Linked DNA regions of Macaca fascicularis. The protein of the gene in region 3 interacts with the protein of the main gene of each other region in a biochemical or structural test. Links are inferred from orthologs where the notes say so. Each region holds a gene or a part of one and is shown on either strand. Other genes may lie near its edges.

Region 1 (6,043 bases), on a different chromosome or scaffold from region 3:
TGGGAGCCGCACAGCCCCGCGCTTCCTTCTATGGAAAATCTGCTCCTCCAGGCTGCCGGGCTGCTGTTACATAAACATCTCTGCTGCCTCCAGACGCCTCCTCTCCTGGGGCGCTGACCCCGAGATGTTACCCCAGGCCTGGAGAAGTGAGGCCAGCTTCTGGGAGGACGCAGGCGAGGGAGGCTCCCAGCAGCAGCTACAGGGGGGGATAGGCCGTCTGCACTGGCTGTTTCCAGAGTGCTCAGCACTTGGCAAGAGGTGTGCCAGGAAAGGCTCGCTGGAGTCAGGTGTGAGATTTGTCCCGCTTTCTGTGCCTCCCTCTGCCACCATGCTCTGCGGTTTCTGCAGCCACTCCCCCAGGCTCCCGAGTCCTAGGTCCCTCTCAGCCTTTCAGTCTCCCTTCAGGGCAGGCATAGCCCTCCTACTCCAGGAGAGCCCCCAGCGCCTTCTGCCATCGCACTCACCACCCTGTGTTGGAGTGGGGAGGGGGCGCTGTTTGTCCCCAGCACGAGGCTGTGAACTTTGCGCAGGGACTATGGCAGGCATTTTGGACTCCTGGCGCTTAACCAGGCTTGGCACAGGGTGCCCGTGCCTGGCATCGTGGTGGAGAAATAAATCAGCCGGAAGGGGCACGTGGGAGGGGCTGCGCCGGCGCCAGCGGCAGATCCGCCCGACCCGTTTGTGCTTTCTGGGGCCACCTTAGGCAGGCGGCGCCCCGGCAGGAGGAGGACGGTGACCGAGGAGCATGTCGACGCGGGTCCCCCCTGGGGCAGCGGGGCGCAATACGTCCGCGAGGCACTGGTCCAGGCTGCTCCCTTGGGGCGCCCTAAACTCCCTGCCCTGAGGCCGCTGCGCCCCCATCCCTCGCGGTCAAGTGCTCAGGCAATCACGGCCAGGGGTGTCTGGCGGCGATCGATCCTCTGGACGCCTAAAGCCGCAGCCACGGGGCCCTGGGGAGGGAGAGAAGCCGCTGGGCTAGGGGCGCACCCACGGCTAGGCCACTTCTCCCAAAGCCCTGCCCCGGGCCCGGGGTCCCCCAACGTGGCCTCAGCTGCTCCCCGCCCGGCCCAGAGCACGGTGGACACAGCTGCCTGCGGCCTCGCCCTCCCTACTCCACCCCGGGCTCCTCCGCTTATTCACATGCAAACTTCCGTCGCCAATTGTCGCCGAGCGCGGCAACGGCCAGAGCCGGATCCTTCCGCAGCCCCGGCTCAAACTTTTGGCCTCTGAAAACTTTCAAACGAGAAGTAGTCCCAGGCGCCCGCTCCCGACCCACGCCGCGCCGCCGGGTCCCTCCTCCCCGGAGAGGCTGGGCTCGGGACGCGCGGCTCAGCTCGGGGAGGCGCAAAGGCGGACCCAGCGCGCGGGAGGAGGCGGCCGCGGAGGGGGCGGGGGGACCGGTGGGGGCGGGGCCGGGCGGGGCGGGGCCGGTGGGGGCGGAGCGCACCTCGACTCTGAGCCTCACTAGTGCCTCGGCCGCGGGAGGGAGCGCAGGGGCGCGGGGCGCGGGGCGCGGGTGCGAGCGCAGCGAAGGAACGAGCCAGGCGCGGAGACGGGCCCGGGAGCCCGCGGGAGCACAGCGCCAACTGCCAGCCGGGGAAGAGAGGGCGGGACTGTCCGCCGCCGCCCCGGGACCGTCCGCCGCGCGTGTGCGTCCCAGCCCCGCCGGCCAGCGCAGGAGGCCGCCGTCCGGGCGCAGAGGGCAGCGGGGGGGAGGCATGCCGCCGCTCCTGGCGCCCCTGCTCTGCCTGGCGCTGCTGCCCGCGCTCGCCGCACGAGGTAGGCGCCCACCCACCCGCGAGCCCCCACTTTCCGCGCTCTTTGGAAACGGCAGCGCCCGGCGCACGCGCCCCGTGGCTGGGAGCGGGCGTGGAGAGGGAAAAGCGGGCGGCCCGGGGCGTGGGGTTCTTGGAGTCCCGGGCTGGGGGAGGACCGACCCTCCCCCTCGATCCCCCCGTGGAGGCGGACTCGCGCCGCCCGTGCCTGGAGCCGAGTTTGGAGGCCGGCGTGAGGTGCTGGGGTCCCGGAGGCCCTACCCGGGCCCGCCCTTCACCCGCCGCGCGTGGGGCTTGCCGCCGGTCGGCCGGGCGGGCGGGCTGCCTACTACTTTTCGATTTGAATAGAGTCGGTTTTGGTTTCCTGTTGCTTCTCCGGGCCATTTATCTTCTTTCTTCTTCGCTTCTGGCCCACGCCGGGGCGGATGTTGGGGCGCGGAGTGTGGGCTCCGCGGCGCCGCGTTCGCCTTCACTGACCCGCGCGGCCCGGCTGGGGCCCCGGGCTCCCGGTCGCCCCGCCCGCCGGTGCCCCCCAGCCCAGCTCTCAGTTTGGGGGAGGGGTTTGCGTAAGAAGCCTTCGTGCCGGGGGGCACTGAACTTTTCCTTTTGCTTTGCAGAGTTGAAGTTTGGAGAGCTTGGGGGTGGAGAGCGGGACGCGGGTGGGGGGCTCTTACATCTCTCCTCGCCGCACATCGAGGGGGGTCTCTGGGGAATCGAGTGATTAATCCACTCTTTCTCCGGGAGTTGCAGGCGAGAATTATTTGTTCTCTTCCAGAAAGTGCTGCTCTATGTCACACCACCCTCCCCCGTTTCTCAGCCCCCTAAGATGGGGAGGGAGGGGCTTGAGTAATTGATCCCTTCTCGAGATGGGGTCGAATTCCTTCCGAATGGGGGACCTTCATCCCCCTCCTGTGTGTGTTTGGGGGCTGCCCTAGAGATGCGCGCCCGCGGGAGCAGGTATTGGGTGTCGGCGGAGGCGGGGCCGGGTCTCCGGGGTGCAGTCCTGGTGCCCCTGGAGGCGGCCCCGACTCCACAATGGGCCGCTCTGATTCTGAGGCGGAGGCCGGCGCTTTGTTGGCGGGCGGGGCAGCGGGCGAGCAGCTGTCGCATTTTCCCACGGGCGGGAGCTGAGTGTGGCCACCCCCCCTTCCCGCCGTCCAGCTCTGCCCCCTTGCAGAACGGGTTTGAACAGAGGCAATCTCGGCGGCTGGATGGGGGGCCCTGCTCTGCCAGCCTCCCCAGTGAGCCTCTGGGGTGGGGGGCAACGCTTGGGAGAGTAGCCCACTTTGTCTCTGCTTTTACCCCACTGCGTCCAGGCGGCACGTCAGGCCACCCCATCCTGCTTCAAGCAGGACGTGTTCCCTGCTGCTCCTCTTCCCCCCATTTCTGACTACAGAACTCTGGGCAGAATGTTGACGCCCTTTGGTTTCATGGTGGGGCTTCCTGTGGTCCCCTGCCCTGGTAACCCATGTCACTGAGTAGAGGCGTCCAGGGTCGGGGGAGGACAGTGCCCCTCGGCTGGGTGCGGGTCCCACCCCCAGGGTAACAAGGGCCTTCGGTGGTGCGGGTGAGACTGACCTCTCTTCTCCTGCCCCTGCCTAGGCCCGCGGTGCTCCCAGCCGGGTGAGACCTGCCTGAATGGCGGGAAGTGTGAAGCGGCCAATGGCACGGAGGCCTGCGTGTGAGTACCACCCCTGCGGGACCTGTTGCTTTGTTGAGGGCAGAGCCCCTGCCTTCTGCAGCCGCGCTGGGGACAGAACCCTGGGGCATTGTCTTCTGGAGATGGCCCAGAGTCTGGGCACGGTCACGTGCTGACTTTTATTGGACAAAGTCTGGCAATTACTTAATCACCAGCAATTATGCTGCGTGTGGAGCTGGTCTGACTGCTGGGGGCTTAGGCACTCCTCTGTGGGCCACCTCAGGCTCCTGGGTTACTAAGTGGGAGTCCCAGGACCCCAATTCTTCTTAAAGTCCCCAAGAAACAGTTGATCTGTCAGGGGAAGCTCTGGACCATTTACTGAGAAGCCCAGACCCCACCACCCTGCCAACTTGGGGCACCTCCTCTGGGCGGGTGATGCCTCCTGGGCAGGTGATGATGCCTCCTGGGCACAGGTGATGCCTCCTCTCCAGGGGTGATGCCTCCTGGGTGGGTGGTGATGCCTCTTGGGCTGGTGGTGATGCCTCCTCTTGATGGGTGATGCCTCCTCTGGGCACAGGTGATGCCCCCTGGGTGGGTGATACCCTCTATGGGTGGGTGATGCCTTCTGGGCTGGTGGTGATACCTCCTGGGCACAGGTGATGCCTCCTGGGCTGGTGGTGATGCCTCCTCTGGGTGGGTGATGCCTCCTTTGGGCACAGGTGATGCCACCTCTGGGTGGGTGATGCCCCCTCTGGGCGGGTGATGCCTCTTTGAAGGAAATTGACCCTTCACAATTGGACCCGCCTTTGGGCTCTTGTTTGCCCCAGCTCCCTCCTCCCGGCCTCAGGCTGGGGCTGGGGAAGAGAAGGCGGAACTCATCTTTTGGCGCGGGGTGTGGGGTAATTATTGAGTCTGGTTTCTGTCCTGGCATCTGCAAACTCTGACCTCCAAATCCCGTGGCCCTTTTGGTCTGCCAGGCTCAGATGTAAAATGGGCATGGAGGGGGCTGGGAAGTCGCGGGGAACCGCTCCCTCCTGCCTGCCTGTGAGTGCCAGTCGGCGGTGGGGAACTGTTCTGCTGTGGCCGATGCCCTTCAACTTGAGTCCATCCCTGATGAGAATAATGAGGAGGTGTTTGGTGGCTGGAAAAAGAGTTCCCTCCGCCCCCCAGGAGCTACAGATGAAGAAATGGCTCCCCAGCCAGTCTGGGCGCCCTCATTCCAACTGTAGAAGGTCCCATTCCCTTGACAACCCCAGCCCGGCTCCTGCCTGCGCCGACTGCCCAGCCTGTGGGCAGCAGCCCCCCTCCCTCCCCGGCCCCCACCCTCCCCAAACTGAAGCCAATTAAGCAGGTCCGTGAGCAGTTTAATGGACAAAGCCGGCTGTGTCTTTGTCAGACACTAATGAATGCGCACACTACTTTTTTTTTTTTTTTTTTTTTTTGCTTTTTGGGGCCCCCTTCTCCCCCTGCAGAAGCCGCACGGACGCTTGATGCCCTAAATCTTGTTTCCTTTCATTCAGAGACCGACAGCTGGGATCCAGGGGAAGTGCAGCAGCTATTGTTGGGGGAGGCGGATTAATGCCGTGTGATTAATTATGCGTGGCTTCCCAGAATGTATAACCCCGTTCCCCGCCACCGCGCTCCCGGCTCGGACTTTGCCTCCACCCATTCAGGTCTCTGGGAGAAGCTTCTTGCTCCTGCAGAGGACTTTGGGAGGGTGGGAGGAATGCCGTGCTGGGAAAATTGGGGGCCTGTTGCTTCTTCTCAGTGGCACTAGGCAGTAGGAACAGCTTGGCCCACAGGGATCTGGGACTGAGGTCTCCACAGGCCAGAGGGCTGTGCTTTGGGGTACAGATGGCTGCAGCTCCCTGATGTCTGGGCCAAAACCCTGCCACAGGGCCGCAAAACACTTGTGTCATGGGCCCACTCTCCCATTCCCCAAACCTGGGATCCTGGTGAGCTGTTTCCTGCCCAAGGCAGGCCACTGACCAGGGCTTTGGTGCCTGGCCTTGTCCCCTTCGCTGGGGCCTGGCGCCCCCTCCTTCTTGGCGGGAAGCCTGCTTCAGTTTGGCCTGACAGGCAGCCGAGCTCAGCCCACAGAGACCCCATTGTGCACACCCCACAAGTCCAACGAGAAGATGGGACGGAAGTGCGTCCTCAGGCTCCCGCCTCTGGGCTGCAGGGTTGGAGGCCAGGGCCACAGCCGGGCCCGGCTTGCGGAGGCACAGGTCAGGGCTCACCCAGCAGTTTGGGGAGCATTGCGGCCGCTTCCTCCCTGGCCTTGAGCCCCACCCAACGTACACCCCTCAGGCGCCTCCGCCTTCCCATTCCTGCTTGTCCTTCTCAGAAGGCCCAGGAGGTCTGTCCAGGAGTTGGCCAGGGCACCTGCAGGAAGCCTGGCTCTCCCAGCAAGGGGAGAAACCCACACTGTTTCTCGAAAGCATTTGGGGTGCAGGCTTTTGGAGCCCTGCCAGCCTGCGTGTGAATCCCGGCCCCGTGGTATCCAGCTGTGAGCCCGGAAAGAGCTTTGATTTTTGGTGCCAGTTGCTACTTCTGCTGTAGAAGGGGCCTGGTCTTGCTGGGGGTTACAGTGCCTGGCACACTAGTACTGGGTGAATCATTTCTTTCC
Region 2 (4,747 bases), on a different chromosome or scaffold from region 3:
CAACAGAGGAAGGAGTTCCAGGATCCATACAACCCAAGATGTGCCCCCTTCACAAGGACTGGGGATATCCCTGGCTCCACAGAGTATGGCTGTTTCTTTTTTGTAGCTCTAGGGGGACCAGATCAGGGATGGCCGTATGTTCTAGTCTCACTTGTACCACAGGCAGGAAGTTGGGGAGCCCGCAAGGAGATGGGGTCTTGGGGTAAAGGGGGGATGTCTACCCATCTCAGGGAATTGGGGGTTGAGGAAGCACAGGCTTTGGCAGGAATAAAGATGAGTGAGCCAGACAAGGCTATTGGAATCCTCACCCCAGAACCAAAGGGGTCAGCCCTGGACACTTCACCCAGGGTGTGGCATCTTCTTACTCCTGTTTCCAGATCTCAGAGAGGTGAGGACCTTGTTCTCAGAGGGTGACTCGGGTCAACATAGGGACCCCCATCTGGTCTAAAGACAGAGCAGTCCTACGATCTGCCATGCATTTGGGTGAGGAACATGAGGGAGGATTGAGGATACCCCAGGGCCAGAACACTGACAGAGACCGCACAGAAATCAGCTCTGCCCCTGCTGTCACCCCAGAGAGCATGGGCTGGGTCGTCTGCCAAGGTCCCTCTCTTATCTTGGGATCATTGATGTCAGGGAGGGGGAGGCCTTGATCTGAGAAGGCTTCACTCAGGTCAGTAGAGGGAGAGTCCCAGGCCCTGCCAGGAGTCAAGGTGAGGACCAAACAGGCGCCTCACCCAGGACACATTAATTCCAATGAATTTTGATATCTCTTGCTGTCCTTCCCCGAGGACCTAGGCCCGAGTGGCCAGATGTGGGTCCCCTCCTGTCTTTCTGTTCCTTATCATGGATGTGAGCTCTTTATTTGGATTTCTCAGACCAGCAAAAGGGTGGGATCCAGGTCCTGCCAGGAAAAATGCAAGGGCCCTGCGTGAGAACAGAGGGGATCATCCACCGCATGAGAGTGGGGATGTCACAGAGTCCAGCCCACCCTCCTAATAGCACTGAGGGCCCAGGGCTGTGCTTGCAGTCTGCACCCTGAGGGCCCGTGGATTCCTCTTCCAGGAGCTCCAAGAACCAGGCAGTGAGGCCTTGGTTTGAGACAGTGTCCTCAGATCACAGAGCAGAGGACGCACAGGCTGTGCCAGCAGTCAACGTTTGCCCTGAATGCACACCAAGGGCCCCGCCTGCCGCAGGACACATGGAACTCCACAGAGTCTGGCCTCACCTCCCTACCGTCAGTCCTGTAGAATCGACCTCTGCTGGCCGGCTGTACCCTGAGTGCCCTCTCACTTCCTCCTTCAGGTTTTCAGGGGACAGGCCAACCTGGAGGACAGGATTCCCTGGAGGCCACAGAGGAGCACCAAGGAGAAGATCTGTAAGTAGGCCTTTATTAGAGTCTCCAAGGTTCAGTTCTCAGCTGAGGCCTCTCACACACTCCCTCTCTCTCCAGGCCCGTGGGTCTTCATTGCCCAGCTCCTGTACACTCCTGCCTGCTGCCCTGACCAGAGTCATCATGTCTCTTGAGCAGAGGAGTCTGCACTACAAGCCTGAGGAAGCCCTTGAGGCCCAACAAGAGGCCCTGGGGCTGGTGTGTGTGCAGGCTGCCGCCTCCTCCTCCTCTCCTCTGGTCCTGGGCACCCTGGAGGAGGTGCCTACTGCTGGGTCAACAGATCCCCCCCAGACTCCTCAGGGAGCCTCCGCCTTTCCCACTACCATCAACTTCCCTCGCTGGAGGCAACCCAATGAGAGTTCCAGCAGCCATGAAGAAGAAGGGCCAAGCACCTCGCGTGTCCTGGAGTCCTTGTTCCGAGCAGTACTCACTAAGAAGGTGGCTGATTTGGTTCGTTTTCTGCTCCTCAAGTATCGAGCCAGGGAGCCGGTCACAAAGGCAGAAATGCTGGAGAGAGTCATCAAAAATTACAAGCACTGCTTTCCTGTGATCTTCGGCAAAGCCTCTGAGTCCTTGCAACTGGTCTTTGGCATTGACGTGAAGGAAGCAGACTCCACCGGCCACTCCTATGTCCTTGTCACCTGCCTGGGGCTCTCCTATGACGGCCTGCTGGGTGATAATCAGATCATGCCCAAGACAGGCTTCCTGATAATCATCCTGGTTATGATTGCAATGGAGGGCGGCCGTGCTCCTGAGGAGGAAATCTGGGAAGAGCTGAATGTGATGGAGGTGTATGATGGGAGGGAGCACAGTGCCTATGGGGAGCCCAGGAAGCTGCTCACCCAAGATTTGGTGCAGGAAAAGTACCTGGAGTACCGGCAGGTGCCCTACAGTGATCCTGCACGCTATGAGTTCCTGTGGGGTCCAAGGGCCCTCGCTGAAACCAGCTATGTGAAAGTCCTTGAGTATGTGATCAAGGTCAGTGCAAGAGTTCGCTTTTTCTTCCCATCCCTGCGTGAAGCAGCTTTGAGACAGGAGGGAGCAGCTTTGAGAGAGGATGAAGAGGGAGTCTGAACATGAGTTGCAGCCAAGGCCAGTGGGAGGGGGGCTGGGCTAGTGCACCTTCAAGGACCGTGTCCAGCAGCTTTCCCTGCCTCGTGTGATGTGAGGCCCATTCTTCACTCTGTTTGAAGAGAGCAGTCAGCATTCTCAGTAGTAGGTTTCTGTTCTATTGGATGACTTGGAGATTTATCTTTGTTCTCTTTTGGAATTGTTCAAGTGTTCCTTTTAAGGAATGGTTGAATGAACTTCAGCATCCAAGTTTATGAATGACAGTAGTCACACATAGTGCCGTGTATATAGTTGAGTAGTAAGAGTCTTGTGTTTCATTCAGATTGGGAAATCCATTCTATTTTGTGAATTGGGATAATAACAGCAGTGGAATAAGTATTTACTTAGAAATGTGAAAAATGAGCAGTAAAATAGATGAGATAAAGAACTAAAGAAATTAAGAGATAGTCAATTCTTTTTTTTTTTTTTTTTTTTTTTTTTTGAGACGGAGTCTCACTCTGTCGCCCAGGCTGGAGTGCAGTGGCGCGATCTCGGCTCACTGCAAGCTCCGCTTCCCGGGTTCACGCCATTCTCCTGCCTCAGCCTCCCGAGTAGCTGGGAGTACAGGCGCCCACAACCACGCCCGGCTAATTTTTTGTATTTTTAGTAGAGACGGGGTTTCACCGTGGTCTCGATCTCCTGACCTTGTGATCCGCCCGCCTCGGCCTCCCAAAGTGCTGGGATTACAGGCGTGAGCCACCGCGCCCGGCCGAGATAGTCAATTCTTGCCTTATACCTCAGTCTATTCTGTAACATTTTTAAAGATATATGCATACCTGGATTTCCTTGGCTGCTTTGAGAATGTAGGAGAAATTAAATCTGAATAAAGAATTCTTCCTGTTCACTGGCTCCTTTCTTCTCCATGCACTGAGCAGCTGCTTTTTGGAAGGCCCTGAGTTAGTAGTGGAGATGCTAAGGTAAGCCAGACTCATGCCTACCCATAGGGTTGTAGAGTCTAAGAGCTGCAGTCACGCAATCAAGGTGGCAAGATGTCCTCTGAAGATGTAGAGGAAAAGTAAGAGAGAGTGAGGGTGTGGGGCTCCAGGTGAGAGTGGTAGAGTGTAAATGTCCTGAGCTGGGGCATTTTGGGCTTTGGGAAACTGCAGTTCCTTCTGCGGGAGCTGATTGTAAGGATCCTGGGTGGATCCAGGGCCAGATTCTCAGACGGTGAGAGAAAAGCCTGAGTTGGAAAGCTGCTCTGAGGAGTTTCTTTTGGACGGTGGATAAACAGAGAGGAGTCTCCACCTAGGCAGGATTGGAAAGTGTTCTGCGCTTTTTTTTTTTTTTTTTTCCCATTGCTTCTGAACACAGCGCAAGAGCTAGGTGATGGACACCCATCGTCCGAAAGCGTTTCCTGAGAGAGAAGCGTGAATCTCCCCGGAATGGAGATCCAGAAGCCACTGGCCAGGCACTTTTCTACCTGGCTGGGAGGACCAGAGCTGACTCTTAAAAAGGCATTCTAATGAGGTTATCTCACGTGCAATTTGGCCAGTTGTAAGCAAGATTTCGTGTGTTGACAAAATGAATGAAAATAGTGGTTTGGATGGAAAGGTATGTGGGAGAGAGTAAAGGAGTTGGTTTTTGACTCAAATTCTACGATCTTTGAGCTGTATCCGCCTAGGGGAAGTCGCACACCCAAATTTTGAAGTACATTCTCTAAGAGGCAATACTTACTGAATTTTAGGAATGAAACTTCCCTTTTTGGTTAGTTATTCCATGTCCTATTAAGTTGTATATTCTCTGATAAGTCCTGGAGAACAACAACAAAATCCCAGAGTGGTAGGGTCTGGGCTCAAATAATATTAGAAATAACAGCCACCTGCTATCCATTAAACTTGTAATTTACTCCAGGCCCTGAACCAGCTGCTTCACTTGCATGCACACACTCCAACAGTCCTAGCGGAAGGGTCTAATCACACCTACTACACAGATGTAGAACCAGAGGCACGCAGGGCTTGGGTATTTCCCAGGATCACGTGCCTAATAAGGGACAGGGCTGGAACCCGATCCCTGATCTGAATTCCTGTAGAGCCCATGCTGTTCCCACTCCTCCCAGCCTGTGGCCCACCTCCTGAGTACTACTTCCTTTCTCTTCTCAACACTGTGCCATATGTCTCTGGTGACAAAAAGAAAGACCCCGAGGCCAACGTACTAAAAACAGACCAGGGGAAGGTGACAGTGAGAATCAAACATCATTTGAGGCTGGTGTGCACTGGGTTCCTTGAGAGTTGATTCTGCCAAGGC
Region 3 (7,639 bases):
TGATAGGATTGCTATTAAAGTCAGTTTCTATTCTCTACACACCCCCAAAACAGCGAGGGACTATGACCGGTGGAAATGTCTTGCATGATATGCCTCTGTGGAAAATGAGAGTGGATTGCAAAAGCTCTTCTCCACCCTGTTCTTTTCATCCTGCATAGGTCTTGGTCTATGTCTTACTGATTTCCCATGTTAATTATTTTAACCTTGTCCTCAGTAGCCTCCTTTGTCTCTCATTGCCATAGAAACCCATTCTGCCTTAAGAATGTCTTTCTTGCCTATTCCTTTGACCCAGGCCCTCTACTTAAGTCCTTCTTCAGCTGCAAATCACCTGCTGAATTAAATCTAAGCTCCTTGATCTTGGCTTCCAGGACGTTCTATAATTTGCTTCTCTGTTTTTCTCCTTTTACAAATAATACATTCCTGGAGCAGAGGTTAAAGTAGATCACTGTCAACCAAAATATTAACTGTAATAACTAACATATTTACATAGAACTTAAGAATTAAGTAAAAACATATCCACCTACATTACCTCATTTAAGGCTCATACTCTGCTGTATTATATATAATTATTTTACATTTATATAAATATAGATAAAGCAGATAACATGATCGCATTTTAAGTTCAATAAAACCGGGGCCCAAATAAATTAAATGACTTGCCCTATAAGAATTTATTGGTGCTATGGGTGCTGACGAGTTGGTGGGTGCGGCACACCAACATGGCACAAGTATACGTATGTAACAAACCTGCACGTTATGCACATGTACCCTAAAACTTAAAGTATAATAATAATAAAAAAAATTAAAAAAATTACAGCTACGAAAAAAAAAGAATTTATTGGTGCTGAAGCTACATCTTTCTTTTTTTTTTTTTTTTTTTTGAGACAGCATTTTGCTCTTGTTGCCAAGGCTGGAGTGCAATGGTGCAATCTCAGCTCACCACAACTTCCGCCTCCTGAGTTCAAGCGATTCTCCTGCCTCTGCCTCCCGAGTACTGGGATTACAGGCATGCACCACTATGCCCGGCTAATTTTGTATTTTTAGTAGAGACGGAGTTTCTCCATGTTGGTCATGCTGGTCTCGAACTCCCGACCTCAGGTGATCTGCCTGCCTCCGCCTCCCAAAGTGCTGGGATTATGGGCACAAGCCACCATAACCGGCCAAAGCTACATCTTAAACTCTAATCTTCAGGCTCCCAGGCCATGCATGTTATATTACACAATGTGATGAATAATCCTGTATTTACCAAAAGTGTTTTTGGTTTACATGCTGTGGCAGGCAGAATTCCAGGATATCCTCCAAGATCTCCTCCTCACCCCACCCCCACAGTACATGACCTACATAACCCCTGGGGCCGTGACTATGAAGAGAGATCACTCCCCTGATTCTGTTATGCGGTGTGGCAGAGTTGATCTTTTTTTTTTTTTTTTGGAGACAGAATTTTACTGTCACGCAGGCTGGAGTGCAATGATGCCATCTCGGCTCACAGCAACCTCCACCTCCTGGGTTAAAGCAATTCTTGTATCTCAGCCTCCCTAGTAGCTGGGAAAACAGGAGCACACCACCACACCCAGCTTTTTTTTTTTTTTTTTTTTTTTTTTTTTTTTTTGAGACGGAGTCTCACTCTGTCGCCAGGCTGGAGTGCAGTGGCGTGATCTCGGCTCACTGCAAGCTCCATCTCCCGATTCACACGATTCTCCTGCCTCAGCCTCCCGAGTAGCCGGGACTACAGGAGCACACCACCACACCCAGATAATTTTTGTATTTTTAGTAGAGACAGAGTTTCACCATGTTGCCCAGGCTAGTGTGGAACTCCTGAGCTCAGACAATCCGACCGCCCCGGCTTCCCAAAGTGCTAGGATTACAGGTGTGAGCTACCGCGCCCGGCCAAGAGTTGATCTCAAAACAGGGAGATTATCCAGGTGAGCCTGATCTAATCACACGAGCCCTTTAAAAGCAGAGCATTTTTTCTCCAACGGTGGCAGAAGAGGAGACAGAAAGATGTGCTTCAGCTGGCCCGGGAGCAAGCAAACATCCATGTTGTGAACTACCAATAAATAGGGTTCATGTGGGAAGGAGTTGAGAGTGATCCCTAGGAGCTGAGGGTGGCCACCACTAGCAGCACACAACAAAACAGGGAAGTCGATCCCACAACCGCCAGGAACTGATTTCTGCAAACAAGAATGAATTAGAAGATGGATTTTTCTCCAGAGCCTCCTATGAGATTTCAGCCTTGTCATACCCTGGGCAGGGAACCCAGACGCTCGGTAAATTACCAAGGATTACAAAATATCTCCCCAGGAGATTGTTTTGGGTGGTAAGAGGATACGGTTTAAAGAAAAGTTTTGAGTATGAATGTTTTCAGAGTCCAAGAACTCTCCATTAGCCAGTCTCACTATTACCTATCGTTTTAAACTCCCTATCACCCTTTCACTTACAGTAGCTGTCCCGGGGAAGCTTTTGTATTTTGTACCCTTTCTGGGGGAATGGGGCTGAGTAAGGAACGTAATAAAGCGGCCTAAACAGCATCTCCCTCTATCTTTGATATTTGGCCTAGGGAACGCCCTATCATGTCGCATATAAGCGATCGAGTTATGTATTTGTTGCTAGCTGAAGAGATTATTCCTTGATAACCGCTTGGTCCGGTCAGAATAGAAACGAATGGTACTCACGTTCAAAGAACTACAAATCCCAGAAGGCCTTTCGGCCAGAGCGCCTGCGCATCGCGCGCTCCTTCCTTTCCGCTCCTCATCATCTGGAAAGACCCGCCCCGCGGTGCTGTCGCTCGCGCTGGAAGAAGCGGAAGAAGATGGCGCTCACCAGGTGGGTTGTTGATTGGGGTCCTCGATACGGAAGGGTCTGGGAGTACCAATCTTTTTCATTTCTCTTCCCATACTCTTGGGGCGGTGACCTGACCCGGGGCACAGAATGACGTGGGCCAAAACTACGGCTACGTCCTCCCGCTGGCCGCCGCTACGACTAGGCCTAGTCGAAGCTGGGGTCTTTCCGCGGTTTCCCGGGTTTAGTTCACCCCTCACCGAGGCCGAAAGCCGCGGCGTGGCCTCAGACACTGAAGACTGCATTTTTCGCTTAAGCATCTTGCGGGGAGCGAACAACGCTCCCTCAGGTCCGCGGCTCGGGCGAACAAGAAGGGGTTGGGGACGGTAGTGGCTTATTTGGGCGGAGTGAAGCGCACGGGCTGCGACTGCGCGGCTTTCCGGCCGTTTGCCTGTGTCCCGAAACAAGGATTCCTGAAAAAAGGGACCCGGAGCTGAACAGAGATTTAAATGAGCCACACTAGTGGCAGCTGTCTGCTGATATGCGCCACTGCTCCGCACTTTAACTTTGGAGCTTAGAATTTCTTCCGTAGATAGAACCACCTCAGAGTTTTGCTGTTTTCGGTTACCTTAGTAACTGTCTGTAAAGTGCTCCTTGCCTTTAAGAAAAAGATGCTTTCCAGTGGGAGAGTCCGAGAAGTTACGCTACCCCTGCTAGTCCCCAACCTTGCTGCCCCACCTTAAGTGGGAAAACTTTCCATGCGAACTGAACAGGAAAAGTCTAGTGTTCAGGAAGGTTGTAGAGAAAGTAGTCCTTTTAGGACATCAACTTGAGCCCTCTTAACACCCTTCATTCTCCTCACGCATGTTTTTTTGTTTTTTTTGTTTTTTTCTGGCTGATGACAGTATGAATCCAAAAACTTACTTTGGGAATTACTGTTGGTGCTTTGCTCTGTCCTGGGGATTGTGTACACAGAAGAAAATCTGTCTTTGGCAACAGGGAAGATGGGGTACAAGGTATACAGACATAAAACAATCACAGAACACAAAATGCACATTTGTGTTATACTAACCTTAGTGCAAAAAGAATTAGATGGAATAAGTTGTGTGGGCTGGAGAGTTTTCTTTCCCCTCTCCTTTCTAAAAATTTTTTTGCCTTTTTTTTAAAAAAACTATTTTTTTGAGATGGAGTCTTGCTGTGTTGGCCAGGTTGGTCTTTAACTCTTGGCCTCAAAGCAGTCCTCCTGTTTCGGCCTCCAAAAGTGCCAGGCGTGAGCCACCATGCCCGGCATCTGAATTTTTTTTTTTAATAAAAAGCTAGAAATGGGGTGTCACTGCGTTGGCCAGGGTGGTCTTCAACTCCTGGCCTCCATCAGTCTTCTCACCTAGGCTTCCCAAACTGCTGGGATTGCAGGCATGAGCTACCATGCCCAGCCAAGAGTTTTTTCTTTAGTAAATGTTACAGGCAGCAAACATTTGAGTACCCTCCAGGTGTGAGACACTGTGTCATAGACTAGTAAAGTTATGAGGGGAGACTTAGTGGAAAAGGTGGAATTTGAAATGGACACACAGGAAAAATTTCTAGAGATGTGATGGGTATTTTTTTATTTTATTTTTTGATGCAGGGTCTCACTCTTGCCCAGGCTGGAGTGCAGTGACCCAATCACAGCCCACTGCATCTTCAACCTCCCAAGGCTCAGGTGATCCTCCTGCCTCAGAGTAGCTGGGACTATAGACGCTTGCCTTGATGCCCAGTTAATTTTTGGTTTTTTAGTAGAGGTGGGGTTTTGCCATGTTGCCCAGCCTGTTCTTGAACTGGGCTTAGGTGATCCACCCATCTCAGCCACCACATCGTGTGGCCTGTCATGGGTATTGTGTGCTTAAAATTGCAATGGCAGAATGCAGTATTCAAATGACCAGTCTTGGGGACTCCAGAGCTTTCCATACCTACCATCTGGGGTTCCTCAGTATTCTTTGTAACATCCTTTAAACCAGTAAACGCATTTCCCTGAGTTCTGTGAGCTACCCTAGCAAATTAGTTGAACCTGAGGATGAGGTCATGGGAACCCTGGTTTGTAGTCAGTTGGCCGGTGACCTGGACCTACTATTGGCATCTGAAGTAAGGGCAGTCTTGAGGGACTGAGCCCTCGACCTGTGACATCTGACACTATCTCCAGGTAGATAACATCAAAAATGAATTGAATTAGAGGACACTTGACTGGTGTCCAGTAAACAATTGATAGCTTGCTTGATACGTGGGGAAAAACCATCATGTATCTGGTATCAGAAGTGTTGTGTGTTGTTGATTGTTGAGTGAAATAATAGGAGAAACTGAATTTGTTTTAATTTTATACTCTATCCACATGGAGCTTACATTCTACTGGGATAGAAAGACTATGAGTAAAATCATAATGCAATTTCAGGTAATACACGCTAGGAATAAAAGAGGGTTAGAGAGTGACTCAAAGTTTGGGGTGAAGTGGCTATTTTGGGTAAGATGGTCAGAAAACAGCTCTAGAGAGAGGTAACTGAGCAGAGACATGAGTGCTAAGATGCAAGCTGTTGAAAGATCTGGGGCTACTCTAGGCATACTGCCTATGGGATAGCCCTGCTCCTCAAGGAGCAGTCACAGAAGAAGACATCTGGAGAAGAGTTTTCTATAAAAGCATACGAAAATTTGTTCTGTGTTTTCGTTTTTGTTTTTTTGGTTATGTTTTGTTTTGTTTTGTTTTGTTTTTTGAGGCAGAGTCTCACTCTCACCCAGGCTGGAGTGCAGTGGAGCAATCTCAGCTCACTGCAAACTCCACCTCCCAGGTTCAAGTGATTTTCCTGCCTCAGCTGGGATTACAGGCATCCGCCACCATGCCTGGCTAATTTTTGTATTTTTAGTAGAGACAGGGCTTCACTATGTTGGCATGGCTGGTCTTGAACTCCTGGCCTCAAGTAATCCACCTGCTTTGACCTCCCAAAGTGTTGGGATTACAGGTGTGAGCCACCTCGCCCAGCCGGAAAAACTGTAATCGATTGAGACAGACAGACAGATAGATTTTATGGCAGAAGGAATAGCCAATGTAAAGATCCTGAGATGGCTTAAGGTAAGATAAGAAGGCTATAGCGAAATGAAGATGGTGAGTGCCGGGGAAGAGTGTATTTATTTCTCCTACAGCATTTAAGGAGCTCCAGCTGTGAAGTTAAAAGTCTTGGAGCATTAGGGATGAAAGAAGTATAAGGTGTGATTCCTGCAGAGCTGCTCACAGTCTTGTGAAAACAGAGTAGATAAATGAGTAGATGATTGCAGTACAGTAAGATAATGTTGTAGTAGTGGTATATAGAGGGTTGTAGGGGAGCATAGAGACGGGCATTTAACCCAAACTGGAAGAGTCATGGTACAGCCCTAAAACTATCAAACATACGGAACCTGTATTGAAAGTGCCTAGATACTATGCCAACAGGTTCATGGATTTCTCTCATTTAATATTTATAAGAACCTTATGAAGTAGATACTCTTATGAACTATTATTACAGATGAGAAAACAGATTCAGAGAGGTAAGTAGCTTATCCAGGTTAGTAAGTGGCATAGGTCAGATCTGAAATCTAAGCCTAGCCATCACTTACCGCCCCAGACTGGATTAGATCCCTATCATGTAGACTCATAGCATCTTAGTATCTTAACATCATAACTTAACATGTGTAATTATAGATTTGTGTGATTTTTTTTTTTTGTTCTCTGTCTCTGCAAGACTCCGTTTATAGTCTCATGCCTAGCATAGTGCTTGAACCCAAATAATAAATATTTTTGAATAATTAATAAGCTCTGCTACTTAGGTATGCTTCCTATCCAAGAATCACAAAGGAACTAAGGTTGTTTTCTCCATATTCAGCCATCAGGATCCTTTTGTAGTACTTTAGAGTATCACTATAATACTTTAATACTTAAAAGTTGTTAAGAACAGTTTAGTAGAAAGGTTACCTTGACTAAAGAATAAGCTGCATCTTCAGGGCTTCTGCTTTGATTCTTTGGTCTCTTAAGGTTTTTTTTTGTTGTTGTTTGTTTGTTTTAGAAGGAGTTTTGCTGTTGTTGCCCAGGCTAGAGTGCAATGACGCAATCTTGGCTCACTGTACCCTCCACCTACCGGGTTCAAGTGATTCTCCTACCTCAGCCTCCCAAGTGGCTGGGATTACAGGCACGCACCATCACGCCCGGCTAATTTTGTATTTTTAGTAGAGACAGGGTTTCACCATGTTGGTCAGGCTGGTCTTGAACTCCTGACCTCAGGTGATCCACCCACCTCGGCCTCCCAAAGTGCTGGGATTACAGGTGTGAGCCACCATGGCTGGCCTGGCCTCTAAGTTTTAAATTTCATTCTAGATTCCCTTGGCACTTAAATATACAACTCGTGTTTATTTTAGCTACCTCTTTGTTCTAATCCTAGTTCTTTTGTATTTACACTGAAGTAGTTTAAGGAGCATAAGGGTAAAAATGTTAAAAATAAGGAGTAGCCAGGCATGGTGGCTCATGCCAGTAATCCTAGTACTTTGGGAGGGTGAGGCTGATGGATCACTTGAGGTCAGGAGTTTGAGACCAGCCTGACCAACATGGGCCAACATGACAAAAACCTGTCTCTACTAAAAATACAAAAATTAGGGGTGTGGTGGCACGCACCTGTAATCCCAGCTCCTTGGGAGACTGAGGCATGAGAATCACATGAATCCAGGAGACAGAGGTTTCAGTGAGCCGAGTTTGCTCCACTGCACTCGAGGCTGGGCAACAGCACGAGACTCTGTCTCAAAAAAAATAAAAGGAGTATAAGAATAGCAAGTATATACTGGACAGTTTATCCCTGGATTTTTAGGAATGTTT

Evidence for each region.
Region 1: the proteins of SNW1 (region 3) and NOTCH1 form a complex in vitro, tested with the Homo sapiens proteins (3 studies listed by BioGRID). The link is inferred for Macaca fascicularis from reciprocal best matches to the Homo sapiens genes SNW1 and NOTCH1.
Region 2: the proteins of SNW1 (region 3) and melanoma-associated antigen 1 form a complex in vitro, tested with the Homo sapiens proteins (2 studies listed by BioGRID). The link is inferred for Macaca fascicularis from reciprocal best matches to the Homo sapiens genes SNW1 and MAGEA1.

Annotation. Positions count from the first base shown.
Region 1 is NC_088389.1:2,814,447-2,820,489, forward strand, and holds the start of NOTCH1 (neurogenic locus notch homolog protein 1), read left to right. Parts: upstream 1-1,463; 5' UTR 1,464-1,718; coding exon 1,719-1,779; intron 1,780-3,377; coding exon 3,378-3,456; intron 3,457-6,043. UniProt on the Homo sapiens protein: Functions as a receptor for membrane-bound ligands Jagged-1 (JAG1), Jagged-2 (JAG2) and Delta-1 (DLL1) to regulate cell-fate determination.
Region 2 is NC_088395.1:159,218,225-159,222,971, forward strand, and holds melanoma-associated antigen 1, read left to right. Parts: upstream 1-1,484; 5' UTR 1,485-1,516; coding exon 1,517-2,467; downstream 2,468-4,747.
Region 3 is NC_088381.1:145,712,631-145,720,269, reverse strand, and holds the start of SNW1 (SNW domain-containing protein 1), read left to right. Parts: upstream 1-2,780; 5' UTR 2,781-2,809; coding exon 2,810-2,823; exon of another isoform or gene 2,824-3,187; intron 3,188-7,639. UniProt on the Homo sapiens protein: Involved in pre-mRNA splicing as component of the spliceosome. As a component of the minor spliceosome, involved in the splicing of U12-type introns in pre-mRNAs.